Linked DNA regions of Struthio camelus. The protein of the gene in region 2 interacts with the protein of the main gene of each other region in a pairwise test. Links are inferred from orthologs where the notes say so. Each region holds a gene or a part of one and is shown on either strand. Other genes may lie near its edges.

What was found. The genes of interacting proteins can lie anywhere in the genome.
Region 1: the proteins of MKRN2 (region 2) and RACK1 interact in binary tests that used the Homo sapiens proteins (3 or more experiments, as listed by UniProt). The two-hybrid records come from large-scale screens. The link is inferred for Struthio camelus from reciprocal best matches to the Homo sapiens genes MKRN2 and RACK1.

Annotation. Positions count from the first base shown.
Region 1 is NC_090977.1:570,841-580,931, forward strand, and holds the start of RACK1 (small ribosomal subunit protein RACK1), read right to left. Parts: upstream 4,246-10,091; 5' UTR 1,934-4,245; coding exon 1,825-1,933; intron 837-1,824; coding exon 665-836; intron 537-664; coding exon 389-536; intron 1-388. UniProt on the Homo sapiens protein: Scaffolding protein involved in the recruitment, assembly and/or regulation of a variety of signaling molecules. Interacts with a wide variety of proteins and plays a role in many cellular processes.
Region 2 is NC_090955.1:20,005,700-20,015,884, forward strand, and holds the start of MKRN2 (E3 ubiquitin-protein ligase makorin-2), read right to left. Parts: upstream 4,908-10,185; 5' UTR 4,811-4,907; coding exon 4,785-4,810; exon of another isoform or gene 4,515-4,784; intron 4,254-4,514; coding exon 4,125-4,253; intron 2,434-4,124; coding exon 2,255-2,433; intron 1,494-2,254; coding exon 1,189-1,493; intron 1-1,188. Other genes in the region: MKRN2OS (MKRN2 opposite strand protein), read left to right, coding at 5,112-5,320, 5,617-5,666, 6,771-6,933, 9,745-9,964. UniProt on the Homo sapiens protein: E3 ubiquitin ligase catalyzing the covalent attachment of ubiquitin moieties onto substrate proteins.

The DNA of each region.
Region 1 (10,091 bases), on a different chromosome or scaffold from region 2:
TTTTCCGCCCGCCGCCACCCCATCCGCGCGGCGCTGCAAGAAGAGACGGGCCGCGCGCCGTCGGTCCTGCCCAGGCCTCCTCTCGCCCTCCTGAGGTCCCCTCATAATTGCAGGACTTGTCCTCAGGCCCCCCCCCGCCCTGGGGGAGGTCGGCAGACACCATATCGTGTCTAATCATCAGGGACGGGGCTGGAAGAGCTGGATCCCCGCTCAAGAGCGACCGAGCGGGGGGCGGCGCGGACGGGTAGACCCAAAAACAAAGCCACGGAGCTCCTTTCTCACGGCGCGACGGAGCGGCTACGCTCCTGTTCGCCGAACGGGGGCGGCGTGATCCGAAACCGTCCCCCCCCCTCCACTCCTTGCCCCGGTGCCTCCTTCCCCGGCTCACCTGCACCGTGTACTTGCAGACGCCCAAGGTGTTCCAGAGCTTGATGGTCTTGTCCCTGGAGCCCGAAACGATCTGGCGGTTGTCGGACGAGAAGGCCACGCTCAGCACGTCCTTGGTGTGGCCCACGAAGCGGCGGGTGGTGGTGCCGCTGCGGGGGAAGACGCAGGCGCGAGGTCAGGATGTCCCCCCAGCCGAGGGGCCCGAGTTCCCCGCCGTCGGAGCCCGGCGGCCGGGCGGGCTCCCGCGCCTGCCCTCTGCCCGCCCCGGCTCGCTCACGTGGTGAGGTCCCAGAGCCGCAGCGTGCCGTCCCAGGAGCCCGAGAGCGCGAACTGCCCGTCCGAGGAGATGACCACGTCGCTGACGAAGTGCGAGTGACCGCGCAGCGCTCGCTGCGGGATCCCGTAGTTGGTCTCGTCCCGCGTCAGCTTCCACATGATGATCGTCTTGTCTGGGCGGCACCGAGAAAGAGCAGGGAGAAGAGTGAGCCGGGCTCCCCGGCGGCCCCGCTGCCCTTCTTCCCCCAGCTCCCGGTCTCCCCTTGCCTGCCTGCCTCCCTCCCTCCCTCTTCGTCCTCAGGCCCACGGTCTCCCCCCGCCCCCCTCCCTCTTCTTCCTTCCCGACGGACGTTGTCTTCTCCTGCCCCTCTTCTTGCAGCCCGTGCTTTCCCCCTGCTCCTCCACCCTCTAGGCTCACGGTTTCCCCCCGGCACACTCATAGTCTCCCCCCTTTTCCCCTCCCCAAGGTCTCTTCTGCTCCTCTTTGCTCCCAAAGCCGGTGATCTTCCCCCTCTTCCCTCCACCTCAGCTGGTGGTCTCCCCCTGCCCCCCCTCCCCTGTCCTCCGGGCTGACGGTCTCCCCCTACCCCCCTCTCCCCTGTCCTCCGGGCTGACGGTCTCCCCCTGCCCCCCTCCCCCAGGCCGAAGGTCTCCCCTGCCCTATCTTCCCCCTCCCCTCCAGGCTGAGGGTCTCCCCGTGGCCCCTCTCCCCTCCTAGCCTGACAGCCTGCCCCATTCCCCCCTCCACCCCGCCAGCCTGATGGTCTCTCCCCCACCCCGGCCAAGGCTCCCCCTGCTCCTCTCCCCACCTCCATGACCCACACCCACCCCCAGCACCTCTTTCCCCCCACCCGGGGGAGGCCGATGGTCTCCCCCCCACACACACACCCGGGGGGGCGATGGTCTCTCTTCCCCCCCCCCCACACACACACCCGGGAGTCGATAGTCTTCCCCCCCCCCCCCCACTCGGGGTCGATGGTCTCCCCCCCACACACCCGGGGGGCGATGGTCTCCCCCCCACACACCCGGGGGGCGATGGTCTCCCCCCCACACACCCGGGAGTCGATAGTCTCCCCCCCCCACTCGGGGTCGATGGTCTCTCCCTCCCCCCCGTCCCCCCCCCCCCCCGGAGGGGGGTGGATGGTCCCGCCCGGCCCTCACCGCGCGAGGCGGAGAGGATCATGTCCGGGAACTGCGGCGTGGTGGCGATCTGCGTCACCCAGCCGTTGTGGCCCTTCAGGGTGCCGCGCAGCGTCATCTGCTCCGTCATGGCGGCGGCGGCGGCGGCGGCGGGCGGATGGCGGCGGATTCGGCGCAGGCCCCGGGCCGCTCCCGCTGGCGGCGGCGGCAGGCGGCAGGCAACCCCGGCCGGAGAAAGAGCGACGCCACTTCCGGCGGAACCGGAAGTGCCCGCCGAGGCGAGGGAGGGGGGCTGTACGGCCAGCGGGCAAGATGGCCGCGCCCAGTGAGAAGGGGGAACATGGCAGCGCTCGTGAGGCGGCAGCGTACGGAAGAGCGAGCGCGGCTCCCAGGAGGCAACAGCCGAGGGGGGAGCCGGTACCGGCGCGTCCGGACCGGAACCGGGCTGGACCGACCCCGACCGGGCCTCGCGGGCTCGTCCGGACCGGAACCGGGCTGGACCGACCCCGACCGGGCCTCGCGGGCTCGTCCGGACCGGAACCGGGCTCTACGGACCCCAACGGGGCCTCGCGGGCTCATCCGGACCAGAACCGGGCTGGACCGACCCCAACGGGGCCTCGCGGGCTCGTCCGGACCGGAACCGGGCTGTATGGACCCTGACGGGGCGCTACGGGCTCGTCCGGACCGGAACCGGGCTGTACCGACCCGAAAGGGGCCTCGCGGGCTCGTCCGGACCGGAACCGGGCTGTATGGACCCTGACGGGGCGCTACGGGCTCATCCGGACCGGAACCGGGCTGTATGGACCCTGACGGGGCGCTACGGGCTCGTCCGGACCAGAACCGGGCTGGACCGACCCCGACCGGGCCTCGCGGGCTCGTCCGGACTGGAACCGGGCTGTATGGGCCCTGACGGGGCGCTACGGGCTCGTCCGGACCGGAACCGGGCTGGACCGACCCGAACGGGGCCTCGCGGGCTCGTCCGGACCGGCACCGGGCTGTATGGACCCTGACGGGGCGCTACGGGCTCGTCCGGACCGGAACCGGGCTGTATGGACCCTGACAGTGTGCTACGGGCTCGTCCGGACCGGAACCGGGCTGGACCGACCCCGACGGGGCGCTACGGGCTCGTCCGGACTGGAACCGGGCTGTATGGACCCTGACGGGGCGCTACGGGCTCGTCCGGACCAGAACCGGGCTGTATGGACCCTGACGGGGCGCTACGGGCTCGTCCGGACCGGAACCGGGCTGGACCGACCCCGACAGGGCGCTATGGGCTCGTCCGGACTGGAACCGGGCTCTACGGACCTGAACGGGGCCTCACGGGCTCATCCGGACCGGAACTGGGCTGTATGGGCCCTGACGGGGCCTCGCGGGCTCGTCCGGGCCAGAACCGGGCTGTATGGACCCTGACGGGGCCTCGCGGGCTCGTCCGGACCGGCACTGGGCTGGACCGACCCCAACGGGGCCTCGCGGGCTCGTCCAGACCGGAACCGGGCTCTACCGACCCCAACGGGGCCTCGCGAGCTCGTCCGGACCGGCACCGGGCTGTATGGACCCTGACGGGGCCTCACATGCTCGTCCGGACCGGAACTGGGCTCTACGGACCCCGACGGGGCCTCACAGGCTCGTCCGGACCGGCACCGGGCTCCACGGACCCCGACGGGGCCTCACAGGCTCGTCCGGACCGGCACCGGGCTCTATGGACCCCGATGGGGCCTCACGGGCTCGTCCGGACCGACACCGGGCTCTACGGACCCCGACGGGGCCTCGCGGGCTCGTCCAGACCAGAACCAGGCTCTACGGGTTCGTCCGGACCGACACCGGGCTCTACGGACCCCGACGGGGCCTCGCGGGCTCGTCCAGACCAGAACCAGGCTCTACGGGCTCGTCCGGACCGGCACCGGGCTCACACCGATGTCGTGGAACCAGCTCCCCCCACCTCGGTTCCCAAGAAGCAGCGTCTCCCGCACGTCCAACGACTCAATTAATTATTTAATGAAACGCCGGAACGAGGCGGTAACGGGCGGGGCCTCCAGGGAGGAACCCGCACGAAACAGTCCAACGTTAAACAATCGCCCTTTTGACGGTTTCGTTTCCCCGCTTTCGCGCCCCGGCGGTTTCCTCCCGCCTCCGCGCGAGCGGCTCTTCCCTTCGCTAAGGGCCCAGGCGTCCGGGCCCGCGCCGGGCTCCTACGCGCCCCTTTAATACGCTCAGTCAGGGGAGGGGCGCCGCCCCTCTTTAAATAACAGTAATAAATAGAAAAAAACCCAAATTAAATAAATCCCACTTAAATAAAATAAAATAAAATAAAATAAAATAAAATAAAATAAATAACCAGGGGAGGGTGCAGGCAGGAGCCACCCCGAGGGCAGCACCCAAAGGTGCCGGCTGCCACCCTACCCACTCCCCACAAGTGACAGGAGGGTCCCTGAGGTGCAGCCCCGAGGCTACGGTGATGGGCACCGTCACAAGTCCATCATCCTGGGTGCCGCCCCACGGCGGGTGCCGGGTCCTGGGTGCCGCCCCACGGCGGGTGCCCCTCAGCGGGCCGCGGGCCCTGGGCCAGCAGCGGGGGGCAGCAGGGCAGGGGAGAGCAGCGGCCGGGGGCAGGAAGGGGCACCCGTGGGTGCCCCGGTCCCCAGGGTGCCGTTAGGTGCCTGCAGCCCCGCGGATGTCCCCAAAACTGTCCTGTCCCCAGATGGGGGGGACCCAGGGGTGGCCCCGAGCGTCCTGGGTGCTGTGGCGGGTGTCACAGTGGGTGTCGTGGGGGTCTTGGCGGGCGTCGTGGGGGTCATGGCGGGTGTCGTGGGTATTACTGGTGTCCTGATGGGTGTCACTGGTGTCATGGGGGTCCCGGCGGGTGTCCTGGGGGTCCCGGCGGGTGTCCCGGGGGGCGTCCCCTCCCCGGGGGTGCTGTATACCTGGGCGCCCACCACCGCCAGCAGCAGCACCAGGAGCCTCTTGGCCGGACTCGGCTCCTCGCCGGGGGGCGTCCGTCGCACCTGGGGGGGGGGAAATCAGTCCGTCAGCAACTGCCCTGGGGGGCAAATTAACCCCCCCCGAGGGGACAAATACCCCCCCAGTGCTCCCACGTGTCCCCCATTCGCCTCCCAACCCGCCCTGGCCCTGCAGCATCATTGGGGTAATTAAAAAATCGCCTCCCCCCCCCCCATGATGGGAGCCTCGGACACCTGGGCCCACTGCGGGGGTGGGGGGGGATGAGTCAGGTGGAGAAGGAATCATGAATCACCCCCCTGCGGCAGGGGAAATCGGCAGCTTCCGGGGGCCCAGGAGTCCGGGCAGCCCTCAAAATACCCCCAGAGAGGGGGGGCCCAGGCATCCGGGGAGCCCCCCCCCAAACACCCCCAGAAGGGGGGGCCCAGGCATCCGGGGAACACCCCAACACCCCTAAGGGGGCCCAGGCGTCCAGGGAGCCCCCCCCCAAAACACCCCTAAAAGAGGGGGCCCAGGCGTCCGGGGAGCCCCCCCCCCCAAACACCCCCAGAAGGGGGGGCCCAGGCATCCGGGGAACACCCCAACACCCCTAAGGGGGCCCAGGCGTCCGGGGAGCCCCTCCCCCAAACACCCCCAAAAGAGGGGGCCCAGGCGTCTGGGGAGCCCCCCCATAACACCCCCGGGGGGAGCCCAGGCGTCCGGGGAGCCCCCCCAAAACACCCCTAAAAGAGGGGGCCCAGGCGTCTGGGGAGCCCCCCCCAAACACCCCCAGAAGGGGGGGCCCAGGCATCCGGGGAGCACCCCAACACCCCTAAGAGTGCCCAGGCGTCCAGAGAGCCCCCCCCAAAACACCCCCAGAAGGGGGCCCAGGCATCCGGGGAGCCCCCCCCAAACACCCCCAGAAGGGGGCCCAGGCGTCCGGGGAGCCCCCCCCCAAACACCCCCAGAAGGGGGCCCAGGCGTCCGGGGAGCCCCCCCAAAACACCCCTAAAAGAGGGGGCCCAGGCGTCTGGGGAGCCCCCCCCAAACACCCCCAGAAGGGGGGGCCCAGGCGTCCAGAGAGCCCCCCCCCAAACACCCCCAGAAGGGGGCCCAGGCGTCCGGGGACCCCCCCCCAAACACCCCTAAAAGAGGGGGCCCAGGCGTCCGGGGAGCCCCCCGCCCCCCCGGCGCTACTCACGGCGGGCGGGTAGAGGACGCGGCGCTGGCGGCGGCGGGGCCGGGGGGCGGCGGCGGGCGGCGGCGGCGGCAGCTCGAAGGTGAAGCGCCGCGGCGGGGAGGCGAAGCCGCTGCCCGGGCCGCCCCCGCCGCCCGCCGCCGCCCGCCAAGCCGCCCCCGCCCCCGTCGTCGTCGTCGTCGTTGTCGCCGCCGCCGCCGCCGCCATCGCTGTAAAATGGCGGCCGGCGCCGCCGCGCCCTTCTTATAGCTTCGCCTCCCCCCGCCCCGCCCCCGCCGCCCCGCCGGCGCCTCCCATTGGCCGCGCCGCGCGGAAGGCCGGGGCGGGGCGCCGACCCGGCTTCCGATTGGCTGGCGGGGGAGCGGGAGGGAGGGAGGTGAGGTCGGCGGGGCGGGGCGGGGCGGGGCGAGGGAGGAGCCGGCTCCGCCCACCGCGGGGGCGGGGAGGGGGTAGGGGGGAATAAGGGATATGGGGCTATAGGGCTTATGGGGGCATATGGGGGGTATAGGGGACATAGGGGTATATAGGGGGTATAGGGGGTATAAGGGTTATGGGGATATAGGGGGATATAGAGGGTATAGGGGGATATAGGGGTTATAGGGGATATAGGCAGTATATGGGATATAGGGGTTATGGGGGATACAAAGGGTATAGGGGATATAGGGGTTATGGGGGACATAGGCAGTATAGGGGATATAGTGGTTATGGAGGATATAAGGGATATAGGGGAAATAGGGGTACATAGGCAGTATAGGTGATATAGGGGTTATGGGGGAATATAGGGGGTATAAGGGATATAGGGGTTATGGGGAGATAGAGGTGATATGGGGGGTAGAGGGGAATATAGGTGGTATAGGGGTTATAGGGCATATAGGGGGTTATGGGGATATAAGGGGTATAGGAGGTATGGGGGTATAGGAGGATATAGGGAAGTATAGGAGATACGGGGTTATGGAGGGATGTAGGGGGTATGGGAGGATATATGGGATATGAGGGTATGGGGGGATATAGGGGTTTCAGGGGATATGGCGGTATAGGGGATATAGAGGGTATAGGGAGTGTAGGGGATATGGAGGGTATAGGGAGTGTGGAGGAATATGGGGGTATAGGGAGTATGGTGGATATAAGAGATATAGGAAGTATTGGGGGGTATAGGGAGCATTGAGGGGGTATAGAGCAGTATGGAGGAGAGTATCAGGGTACTGGGGCTGCATGGGGTCCATGGGGGGGTATAGCAGCATATAGGGGATCATAGGGTGCATTGCACTACATAGGGGTGTGTAGGGGTCCATAGGGGGGTATGTGGGTGTATGGAGTGCACAGCGGTGCATGGGATATAGGGGTACATGGAGGGTAGGGGGTGTATAGGTGTGTAGAAGGGCTCCACTACTATATAGGGGTGCATATAGGAGGTATACGGGGCCATATGGGCACATAGGCGTGCATGAGATATATAGGGGTATAGAGGAGGTATAGGGGTGCAGGAGATATTCTGTTGTATAGGGGTGTATAGGAGTGCACGGGGGGGTATAGAAGCACATAGGGTGCCAGGGAACATATGGGCAGACGCAGTGTATGGGGCGCAGAGGGGGTGCACTGTCGCATAAGGGCACACACGGGTGTATAGGGGCATACGGGGGCACGTGCAGTGCATGGGGAGTGGGGGGGTGTATAGGGGTGCATAGGGGTGCATAGGGGTGCGGGGGCCCTATGGGGGGGGTGTGGGGGCCCTATGGGGGGGTGCAGCGGCCTCACGCCCCCCACCCCCTATAGAGCCCCAGCCCCCCTACACACACCCCGACCCCCGTAAGGCCCCTATAGAGTCTCACCCCCCCACCCCTACACCCCGAAACCCCTATAGGTCCCTATGGGCCCCTATAGCCCCCCCTCAACACGCGTGTCATGCCATGGCCGGGTTTTTTCCAGGTTGCACAACCCGAGGCGGATACGTGCGGGGGCGCCCGGACGCCTGGGTCCCTCGGCAGGGGGGGGGGGGGGGGGCCGGACGCCTGGGTCCCTGGGGGGGGGGGGGGGCCGGACGCCTGGGCCCTCCCTAGCCAGCCCCGTTTCGGGAGTGTGACGCAACCCCCCCACCCCACCCCGGTGACTCAGGGCTCAGGAACTCGGGCGTCCGGGAGCCTCCCCTCCCCCAGCGAGGGACCCAGGCGTCCGGGGCTTCTCCCCACCCCCCCCCAAATAAAAGGGACCCAGGCGTCCGGCTGAGGCTCTCCCACACCTCGCATCCCCCAGGGGCCCAGGCGTCCGGGCCGCGCCTGTCGCAACGGGCTCTGAGACCTTCCAAGAATCGTTGCTTCACTGAGCCGGGAAATCCCCGGACGCCTGGGTCCCTTCCCGGACGCCTGGGCCCCGGGCAGGTCTCTGTGCGTCAGAGAACGGGGGCGGGGAGGCAAGCCGGACGCCTGGGTCCCCTGGGGGGAGGGAGCCCCTGCCCTTCCCCCCCCACCCCCTACCAAGGGGGCCCAGGCGTCCGGGCGCCCCCCACCCCCGGGACAGACGAGGCAGAAACCAGCAGCTCACCAAAAAAAGAAAAAAAAAAGAAAAAAAATTCTATATATTAAGTGTAAAAATTTCCGGCTCCGCCCAGCCCCTCCCCCACCCACCCCCACCCCTCATTAACCCCCCTCCCCGCACTAACGAGGCCCCCGCGGACAAATGAGAAAGCGGCTGAAAGGGTCGAGTGGAGACAGCCCGAGTTGGAGGGGCCCAGGCGTCCGAGTGGTCCCAGGCGTCCGGGGAGGGCCCCAGGCATCTGGGGAGGGGCCCAGGCGTCCGGGTGGTCCCAGGCGTCCGGGGAGGGGCCCGGGCATCTGGGGAGGGGCCCAGGCGTCCGGGTGGTCCCAGGCGTCCGGGGAGGGGCCCAGGTGCCCAGGAAGGGACCCAGGCGTCCGGGAGGGTCGCAGGTATCCGAGGAGGGTCCCAGTTGTCCGGGAGGGGCCCGATGTCCGGGAGGGGCCCAGGCGTCCGGGAGGGTGCGGGGGAGGGTCCCCGTGTCAGTAGTGTTTGGCGTTTCCAGTGTTGGGTGGGGGGAGGAGGAGGAGGAAGGTGAGGGTGAAGAGGAGCATGAGGAAGGCTACGGTGAGGGCGGGGGTGAAGAGGAGGAGGAGGAGGAAGGCGAGGAGAAGAAGAGGGAGGATGAGAGTGAGAGGGAGGATGATGACGGTGAGGACAAGGATGAGGGAGAGGATGAGAAGGGCGAGGAAGAGCGCGAGGAGGGCGATGGTGACAACGAGGAGAGCGAGGAGGAGGAGGAGGGGCAGGAAGGAGAGGACGATGCGGGTGAAGATGATGACAGCGAGGGCGAGGAGGGCGAAGACGAGGAGGGGGAGAAGGAGGAGGGCAAGGAGAGTGATGAAGAGGAGGGTGACAAGGAGGCGGAGGAGGCAGAGGAAGGTGAGGAGGAGGAGAGCAGCGAGCAAGGTGAGAATGGCGAGGAGGAAGAGGAGGAGGAAGAGGAAGGCGAGGAGGAGGAGGAAGAGGAAGGCGAGGAGGAGGAGGAGGAGGAAGGCGAGGAGGAGGAGGAGGAGGAAGGCGAGGAGGAGGAGGAAGGCGAGGAGGAGGAGGAAGGCGAGGAGGAGGAGGAAGGCGAGGAGGAGGAGGAAGGCGAGGAGGAGGAGGAAGGCGAGGAGGAGGAGGAAGGCGAGGAGGAGGAGGAAGGCGAGGAGGAGGAGGAAGGCGAGGAGGAGGAGGAGGAGGAAGGCGAGGAGGAGGAGGAAGGCGAGGAGGAGGAGGAAGGCGAGGAGGAGGAGGAAGGCGAGGAGGAGGAGGAAGGCGAGGAGGAGGAGGAAGGCGAGGAGGAGGAGGAAGGCGAGGAGGAGGAGGAAGGCGAGGAGGAGGAGGAGGAGGAAGGCGAGGAGGAGGAGGAGGAGGAAGGTAAGGAGGAGGAAGAGGAGGAGGACGAGGAGGAAGAGGAGGACGGCGAGGAGGAAGGCAAGGAGGATGAAGAGGAAGAGGAGAATAGCGAGGAGGAGGAAGAGGAGGAGGGTGAGGAGGAAGAGGAAGGCAGGGAGGAGGAAGAGGAGGAGAAGGAGGAAGAGGAGGAGGAGGAGGAAGAGGAGGAGGAGGAGGAAGAGGAGGAGGAGGAGGAAGAGGAGGAGGAGGAGGAGGAGGAAGAGGAGGAGGAGGAGGAAGAGGAGGA
Region 2 (10,185 bases):
CCCTTCCTGCATCTCTGTCATAAAACAGTAATTACACACAAGATGCTTCATCTACCCCCAGGACCTATCTAATTCACAATCCAGAATTAGACAGATTGCCAAATTCAAGATGCTACTCTGTTTAGCGTAAGGCTGCACTCCTCATCCACCAGATATCACACGAACTTTATCCTAAATAAGGGATTACAGTCTCTTGTTATTGGCTTTCCAAGAGCATTGACAGTATCCAAGTAGTGACAATCAATAATCAATTTACTTGCGCAGCATTGTAAGGTGAGCTGGTGGCGATAATTGCATAGTTTTAACTCTCGCTTTTCAACATTCTCAGGACTTGACAAATAACATAAATTTAACAGACTTAAGAAAAGAAGGACACAAAATAATTCCACGTTAACAGCACCAGCATTCCAGAGGCTGACTAACAGACAGCAACGGTGACAGGATACCGTGCCGAGTATCAACAAGCCCCTGGGGGAAGCGAGCACTCCTACCCCTGCATGTGCTGCGAGCAAATGCTGACAGCGTAAGAGCCGAGGTTTGGGCCCCTTGAATTCTACTCTAGGCTCTGGAGAGCTTTACCATTTACCGCTAAAACTTCTGGTCTTTTCCTCCTCTGCCTCAAAAACTCTTGTTCCTTCTCAGCCCTTACCCAAATCTGGCAGACAAAAAGAGAAAAGACCAGACTCTTGAGCCCATCTTTACCCAACTAATTCCTCAACCAGCCTTCCTGCCTCAAATTGAGCTCCAAAATCTTTGTCCTCTGTTCAGTTTGTTTATGCTGCCCTGAAAAGCAGCCACATCAAGCTGCGACATCTGAAGAGGTGAGTCCGGAGACCGGCAGGATGACCTAGCTGAAAGCACCAGCTCTCTAGAATTCCTCCTCCCTCTGCTATACATAACATAGTGTTGAGACATCTGATATAGCTACAAAAGATGTTTTCTAGACAGTTTTAGGTGTTTTGGGGGAAGATCGGAGGCAAGTTTCCCATTAAGATGAAAGGGAGAAAAATAAGTTGCTGTGAAAGGCTATCTGCATCATTGCTACCCACGAGTGTAAGTCCTAGATGCTTGAGCAGGCCTCTCTCAGAATCATTTTATACCTCGACAAACAAAAAAAGCCCTTTGGAACAACAGGCTGCTCTGCAGAACACATCTTCGGATTTCAGAGCAAGCAAACCAAAATATTACCATCTCATGAGCCTTCCTCTGTTCTTGGTCAAAAGGATGAAGTACTTGCAATCCACATATTTCACACACGTCTCCATGGAGGTAAAGGCAGCGATCTCCAAAGTGGCATGCTCCTGCTGCAGCGTAAGGGCATAACTGCTCTCCATCAACACAGGAACTTCCAGCTACTGGATCTTCCAGTCCACTGCAAATAGCTTCCAAATACGAATGGGGTTTCATTTCCAGATTATCATTTTTGTCGCTGCAACATACCACATCACTTGTGGCACTGGGTTTCTGCTTTTCTTCATTCAAACCACACAGATCTTAAGAAATAGAAACATAACATGAACCATTCAAGGCACAGCACAAAACTCACATATGGAGCTCCACATACTTTCTTTTCAATGATTGACAGTTCAAAAAAAAAAAAAAGTTTTCTTTAGAAGGAAATTTTCTCATCTCAAAGCCCCTTTTGCTCACAAAGCGCAATAACTTTTTCCATCAAACTACCTGCTGCAAAGCCTGATTTTAAGGTCTTTTTAGCTATCTTCTGCTTACAAATAGGACAAAAATCCTCCAAATTCACATGTGGGCAACTGACACGTAGAGTGCGATAGGAAGAACAGGGTGGGGAAATCGTGTAGGCGTGCCAGTGACCGGGGGGGGGGGGGGGGGAGGTGGCTCCCCTGTCCTCAGGCATCAGGCACGGAAGGATGTCTCTGTGCTTGTGCTAGTTCAGTCCCCCAACCTGACAATACCCTGGTATAAAGCAGTCAAGTTTCTCACCATTTCAAAAGCCCTCATGTTGAGAACAAAACGCACAAAAAGATCTGAGGGGCAGGGAATCTTGAAGAAAAAAAATCTTTCAGGGAACACCAGGTTAAAAACCAGCCAGTTAAAACTGATATGATTACAAGCTACTGACAGGCATGGGTCTTTCGAGAAAAGGGATCTCATGAAGCAGGAAGGCATACTACACCACTCTCTAGCTGTCAGTGAAATATAATTAATTAGAGGTGTAAAACTAGCTAACTTCTATCAAAGATGAGAGGAAAGCATTGAGGAACGTCAGCAAGGTACTCACTTCTGTCCCTGAGCACTAACGTCTTCTTTTCCCGTTTGCCAGTCTCATGCAGTTTGCTCTTGATTACTGGTGCGCTCTGCTCTGGGGGGTGGCGAGGATTGTGCAGGGCTGATGATGAAAGGGGAGGCGGCACAGGACCCGCTGCACCCCCCGACGCAGGAAGTCTGGTGTGATCATATCTACAGAAGGGAAAAGCCAGAATAAACGCTACAAAGACTAAACTCAGGGAATAGTGGAAATGGAAAGGTCCCCTGATGAACACCTTCGCCTTTATTTAACATAAATCAAACTGAATAGCTGTCTTAAAAAAAGGGTTATTTTGACAAGAAGTTGACCTAACAACAGTCAGCTCGGTCCCTTTCAAAGCCAGGCCACTGGGTTTCTCAGTGTCTCTGAAACACCTACGAAAATGTACGCCTCTGAAAGCACACCTATATTTTCTTCTCCGGAGACGTGCAGCATGGCATGGCTGAAAGAACATTATTCATGTGCATATTAAATTAGATCTTCGTCATTCCCTCACACAAACAGGTTTGCTGACATTTCTCAAAAAAGCGACATCAAAACGCTATGCAGTAATGAGTGACGTTTTATGATCGCTCATGTTCCCCTCACAAGCAGTAACACAAACTTTATGCCCTCGCACCACAGGCAGAAGATGCACTATTTGAACACGGGCTAGGAAAGGACTCGGAATATCCAGTAAAGCTCTGGAAATATACTCCAGCAATAGAACAGAAGCAATTAGTGCAATAAAAAGGCTGGTACAGTAAAGCCACGGACATACCTGAATCCTAGAATATTTTTGAAGGGAAGGAGAGAATTCTCCCTGTTTGTTTCTAGCCCTGTACGTAGCACCTGCAAGTTTGCCATACACACGAACAGCTTGCGTGCATCAAGTGCCCTGAACACCAACAAGGCAACTGGAGTAAAACCAACACGCTCTGCAGCTGTCATTATTTCCCAGTCAGCATACAACGTGGTCCTGATGAATAATAAACTACAAATTCAGTTTGAGCAACTAAAGACACTTATAGAATACACTAACATTCAATCTCCCAATCCAAAAGCAAATACAACTAAGCCATTGCAAACACAACGATGCTGTGAGATCTCCCGTTCTTCTCAGGTGAACGTACAAAGCTTTCTTACCTGTGACCAGAATTTTTCCATGAAGGAGTCATGAGTTGCCCTGTGGCACATCTCTCATGGGATGTAACAACGTTTACTAACATCTAATATTTACTAGAGTATTTCCCAAAGAATTTTACCAAGAAGGCTTTAGGAAAGGGTGTGGCACGTCTTCCACTTTCCCACAGAACCTGACAGAGGGTGAATAAAATCACTTTGCTCTAACACAGAACTGACAGTCCTCCACATTCTGCATTAGGATCTGAAAGAACAAGGCTCCAACCTACATCACATGAACTGAGTAAAGCACTTCTGAAACACTGTCCGCTTCCATCCAACTCAGCAATATGAAAAATAAACAATTCCAGTAGATACTACTTTGTGCAATGGTACACATCAAAGGTTGTTTTTAGCAGTTCTTAATAATTTAACAGTTCTTAAAATACTACTAAGAACTGGGTGAAAATACACTTGAAACCTGAAATTTAATTTCTACAGAGTAAGATAACTGCTAAAGCTAAAACGGAGCCAGACAGTATTGCATTCGTAAGCTGGTTTTGGCAGAGGAAAAAAACCACCTCATTATTTAATATATTATTTCATTCCTTTTGTCATTTTAGAAGTCTCATCCTTTCTTGATCTTCCATTCACTGGAGTCTAAGGCCTACTGCACATGATTATTATTTCTGGTTCTGAAAAGCTCAACACCCCCCCCCCCCCCCAAAACTATGGTCTTTACCTGCACCGAGTTCCATAGGCACACTGTCCCTTCTGGTAATATTTGCAAATAGTAGACGGCTTGCTTGTAGATAAGTCATGCGAAAACAGACACTTATTTCCCTCCCGACATACTCCTTGCATATAATACCTGAGAGAAAAGTAATTATGGTCATAGACACCTGTTTTGTAAAAATCAGCATAGCAGTGGTTTACTTCCCAGAAGAAACTTCAGCTAACATTTCCAGCTCAAACCTGATCTTTGGCCTTTCTCCAAAGGAGAATCCTCTGTTAGGAAACGATGCATAAAAAAGCTACAAAGCTCTCTACGCCTCCCCCCTCCCTCCAAACAGCCCGAGACAACACAGACACCACCTCCCCTCGTCCCTCACAGACGCACTTGGCCAATTACCAAGTTTTTGACCGGTGTCGCTGAGCTGGGGGGAATCCGGGAAAAGAGAAGCGCTCCCGCCGCCGGGCCGGGCCGGGCCGAGGGGAAGCGCCAAGGCTCGGGGGGGGTGGGACGCCTTGTCGCCACCGTGGGCCGAAGGCCCCGAGCGGCTCCGCTGTCCCGAGGGGCCGGGGCTAAGCCGGGGCTGGGACAAGGCCAGGCCAGGCCGAACCGAACCGAGCCGGGCCGGGCCGAGCCGGGCCGGGCCGGGCTGGGCCGGGCCGCGCTCACCTGCAGGTCACCTCCTTCGTGCTCATCTTGGCCGCCGCCCCGCCGGCGCCGCCGCCCGGCCGGCTCCGCGCGGCGCGCGCTCTTGGTTCCGCTCAGCCTCGGGAGAGCGCGAGGCGGGGCCGGGCCGGGGCCGCCCTCCTCCGCGCGCTCCCCGCCCCTTGGCCAGCCAGCCAGCGCCGGGGGACACCATTCAGTGACGCACCGCGCCACGGAGGCGCGCGAGGGCAGGCTAGAGCGTCGCTCACGCGAGCCATCGAGGCGAGCGGAGGCCGGAAGGCGGCGCAATGGGTTTGGCCGGGCCGGGCTCGGGGCAGAGCGGCGGCCGCCATGGCCACGGCCGCCATCGTGCGGCTGCGGCACTGCGGGCCCGACATCTTCTGCCGCCGCCCGCCGGCGCGCTGCCCGGCCTGCGGCCGCCCCCTGCGCGGCGCCGCGCTGCCCGCCGCCCCCGTGCGCCTCCCCAGCCCCTTCCGCCGCGGGCACCGCCAGCGCGGCGCCTTCCTGCTGCGGCCCGCCGGCCCCGCCGCCTTCCTCGGGTACGGCCGGGCCGGGCGGGCGGGCGGCGGCGGCGGCGGCCTGGGGGCCCGGGGCGTCGGCTGCCCCCCTTGCCGCCCGCGGGCTGCCCTCGGCCGGGGGAGGGAGCCTGCTGGGGTTTGCGGCCCCCCAGCTTCACGTGCCCTTCGCCCGCTGGCGGCTCCTTTCCGCCTCCCTCCGGCCTGCCAGCGGCCTGGGGCCGGGTAGCCCAGGAGGTAGCAGCTGTTCTGGGAAAAGGGACGTTTGAAGGCCGTGTCTAACGGGAACAAGCACAGAAATACTGCTCTTTTCCTTTCAGAGGCTATGATGGGAAGTCCGATCTTCATGTTGGAATCAGCAACATGAATGGTAAGAAGTGCTCTGGTGCCTGCTGCCGGTCTCCCATCCCTCGTGTGTAAGCTGTGTTCCCAGTTTAGCTTTGCCGCTCTCCGCCTTCGAAGGCGATCGAATTGCGTGACAGTCATTTCAGAGCCAAATCTATTGCTGTGCAGCTGTTTGGAACTTAATGTTAAAAAGGCGAGCTGTAGCGCCCCGGTATCTGATGTTTGCTGCTGAAGAACGCACGCTTCCTCACGCTGCTGCGGGTACGCAAACCGGAGGCCTCGCTGTTGACGTCTAAGGAGTATCGCTCACAGGCCGAAATACCTTGGGCCGACCGTTTATCGTGCCCTGCAGCAGCGAGCACAAAGAGCTTCAAATCAGAGCCCCTAGGCCGTGGCTCCCCAGGGCCACCTCCGTTCTGAGCAGCTGCACAGAATGGCATGCACCGCTGACTGCTCTTCCTGGACTCAGAAATAAAAACGCAGCAGCCTGTCCTTCTAAAGAAGTTTCAGGAAACTTCCAATTCAGCACAGTTTTTGCTAATTCTCAAAATACAGCCGTAATGATACAAAAAAGTCATGTTAGAAATTGTATTTTAAAGGAAATCCTGGTCCGTGTGCTGGATTAATGTCTTCGATATTGATACCTAAAAACTTTTATATTTTATTCTGTACCACATACTTTCTGTTTTCTAATTTACTCATCTTGAACAACAAAGTGGGACTGTTCTCAGTTCCTTATCCCTTCCTAGTTGATTTACTCTCCCGTTCTCACACAGTAGAAGCATTGAGCATGTCTCAATTGCAAACATGTCAAGGGAATGTTTATTTAATATAGAAATGGTCTACTTTGGGGTTTAAAAAAGAAGCCTTTCTGTCCTTAAGTTGTCTTCGTTATGCAAAGATATGCGAAAGCACAATGTTGAATTGTGAACAGTTCCTTGATTTAAAAAATAATAATAATTAGGTTTCACTCTGTAGCAGGAGGAGGCCACTGATCGGAAAGCTATGGTATAACTAGTCTAAATAAGAACGGCGTTGTGGAAAATCAGTAGCAGCTTTCATCACTGGGGAATGGCTTTCCACCTGATCCTTCAGTACTACCTGACTGTCTGCTGCTCTCTATTTTCAGGCTTGGTATATAATTACGATGAAGAGGGCATTCACAGAGATGAAACTGGATGGGAACAGTGCATTAGTATCCCACTAGTACAGCCAGACATGTTTGGGCTTCTTCACCAATGGGATAAGCTCCTAGAGGAATTTTCTGCGGGAGAGGCCTGGCTACCTCACAGGTAGGTAGCTTAAAAGCTGGATTTAATAGGAGTATTTAATCTAGGATGATAAATTTGGTTATTCTGTTTTGGATCCTCCAAGGCTTCAGAGGCTTGCTCTGTTAGACACGCGTGTCTAACAAGTCTAAACAACTCTTAAGTAATCTAGAAACTCATTGGCCTTGCTAAACAGAACAATAGCATTAAAGTAGTAACTAACTTAAACTCACCTGCTGGAATGTAGAAGCCTTAACCGAAAAGAATGTTTTCGGGAAGTTTTCTTCAGCAACAAAATAATTTTGCAGGGGAAAAGACCAATTCACTGAAACACAGCCTTAAGGAATGTGCTGTGTTAAGAAAGGCTACAGAAGTAGAGAAATCCAGGTACAACTGTATAATTATATTTGTCCTAGAATTCAACTGTCCTAGGTGAATTTGGATTTAAAGGCTGAAATCCTGACCATATTGATGGGATTCTTGCTCAGAGCTGACATCCAGAGGACTCGCTCATTGCCAGTGATCAGCTCTTCCAGCTGGTTTGTAGCATTTTGTTTTGGCTGGTTAGATACAGAAAAACTTCCACGTATTTTGAATTCAACTAGTATGTTCCAACTGGAACGTTCAGTTCCCTTTTTGGCTTTCCTTGAAGTTGATGCCACTGTTGACAGTGTTACAAGTTACGCAGCCCGGCTGAAACGTGGTGCCACGTCACTAAGCTTGCTGGTGACAAAGCAGCTTGCTCTTTGAAATTTTCATTAGTAAGAGTACATTTAACAAACAGCCTGTCTGAGCCCAGTTCTACGAAGAGTTATGTTAATGGCAGTAGACAGCATCTTATATAAAAGGGGGGGGGGGGACCCAAAACAGGTTTAGCAGTTCTGTAGGTGCTTGACCGTAAAATTTCAGAGCAAGTTATGTCCCTAATATCAGGAGATGCAAGAATTTGATCTAGGATCCAATTTTAAGTGTCTATAGAACAAAAATCCCATTGGTGTTTCAAGTATCTGACACTTTTACAATTCCCGGTGCATTAATGTTGTTATTAAAATTAATGTGCTGTCAAAAAGCAATGGTAGAGGAGAGGGTAGGTGTATGTACCTTTCTTTGATTTTTCCCTTGAATGCAAAGAATAGTTGATAGATACCCTGTCTGCCACCTCCTGTCAAAGTGGCCTACTTGTTCCAGAAATAGAAGAGTGACCACTAAAGTGCTGAAAAGTGAGTTTTTTTAGAAGTTAATTTAAATCCTCGGTTTATTTTTTTTAACAGGACAGGAACTGTGCTAAACTAATCCTGTACCTCTCCTTTGGGTTTGGGCCAAGCCTAATTCTAATTCTCCTGTTTGCTTTTCACTTACTGGAAGGATGGTATATAAAGGCAGCAAACAACAGCAAGTGCAGACATGACCAGAAATATCTTACGTTAGTGAAAAATATTGGGTTTTGCTTGTTAAGACATCAAGACATGCTTCCCAAAAAAAAAGACACTAACTTGGAAACACAGATGCTAAGAAGGGTATTACAGAATCAATTGCATTATGAAAAACAAAGAGAGTCTGCATCCAGAAATGAGATTTGTTAAACATCTGCTCTACTCTATCATGGCACTGATTCACTAAAGCACTTATGCATATACATAAATTTTCAGGACGTGCTGCAGTGCTTTGCAGACTCAACACTGAGCTAAAGTTAAACCACCATTTTTTGCAATGGAATTTCCAGATGTTTTGCACCGCACAGAGATGGTGGTCTCTTGAAGTTGCTCAATTTTGCTTTAACAATTATTTTGGTAAAGTAAGTACTCTGCAGCACATGGCTTACTTCCAAAATGGGAGCTCATAGGTCACTTAAAATAGACTCAACAAACCAGAAAAGCTTTGGAGAGAGCAGTGAGCAACCCTTAACTGGACAAGTTTTGATAGCAATAGTCTCCAGATCTTGCAAAAACATGCAAGCCTTATACAAAATTTCCTGTATCAACACAGACTATGGAGCCACTAACAATATGAAGCAAGGAATGAGTCACAGGGCTAGGAAGAACAAAGGGAAAATGACACAGGCAATTACAGAAGCAGCTTGAGGATTAGGCAGATGGCAGACAGCAGTCTGACCAGGTCCGTATCAAATGCAATTATACAGGACCAATGGCAAGAGTAGCACTGTGCAGTGACGAATGGAATAAATTGCTGAAGTTGTTAGTGACTACATGAAACATTTCGGAGAAGCTGAATAACATTATGACAGTGAAAAGAGAACAGCTAAGTGCCATATGCAGGTATTAAAAAAAAAAAAAAAGGACAAGAAAAACATTTTAAACGCTGACTCCTATTCAGTTAGTATTTCTGTCCTTGCACACTTGGCACAATTTAGTACCAATGGGAGTTTGACTGGAACACTGCATAGCAACTCTATCGAGATACTAGTGATAGAATTTACTTGGTTTTAAGTAGGCTTCCAGGTTAATGCCACGCTGAAAGCAGTGGAGGTGGTGGTACATAATATTACTGCTGCAGGAAGCAGTTTTCAGGATAACAGAGTAACGATGTATCAGTTCAAAGAGTGAAGGTTAGCAAGGCAAAAACCTAATGTGTAGGTAAAAAAACCTCATTAGACTCTGCAGCTTTTTTTTTTTTTAAAGTTTATGGTTTCTAGCATCTCTGGCTTGGAAAGTGCAACCTGCTATATGTAGAATATATTTAAGCACCAGCATTAAAGGCAAGCGGCAGTAGTTCTTGGAGAACATGTGCGCCTTTATGTTGCTCAATAAAATATATTCCTCCACACAGTAATTAAAAAATTAGTGCTAACACTTATTAATGATATATTTTTCCTAGGTATGAAGAACATGACCACAACTGCTACACATACGCACTGGCATTTATTAACAGTGTGCTGACTGCACAAGGGAAGCCGCAAATGAGTAAAAGTGAATTCACAGAGAAATTTGTGATCCCACAGACAAAGAAAGCTTCCAAATACATTACTCTGCATCAGGAGTTAACAGCTAATGAGTTCTACATTGTATACCATCCTGATCAAGAAAAACAGTGCTGAAATTAAGCTGCTCCATTAAAATATCTACAAAAGGAAAAGGAAGTCTTAGCATCCAACTTTCATGGTTTAAGGTATTTGATCTGTAAAATCACGATTTCCTTCGCCTATGTTGGCCAGCTTGTTATGAAAGGATCATGCTCTTTGCTGCTAAATTTGTATATGTGAATGAAGTGACATGCAATTTACACACTACTGAAAATTTATATGGGAACTGTTCATAT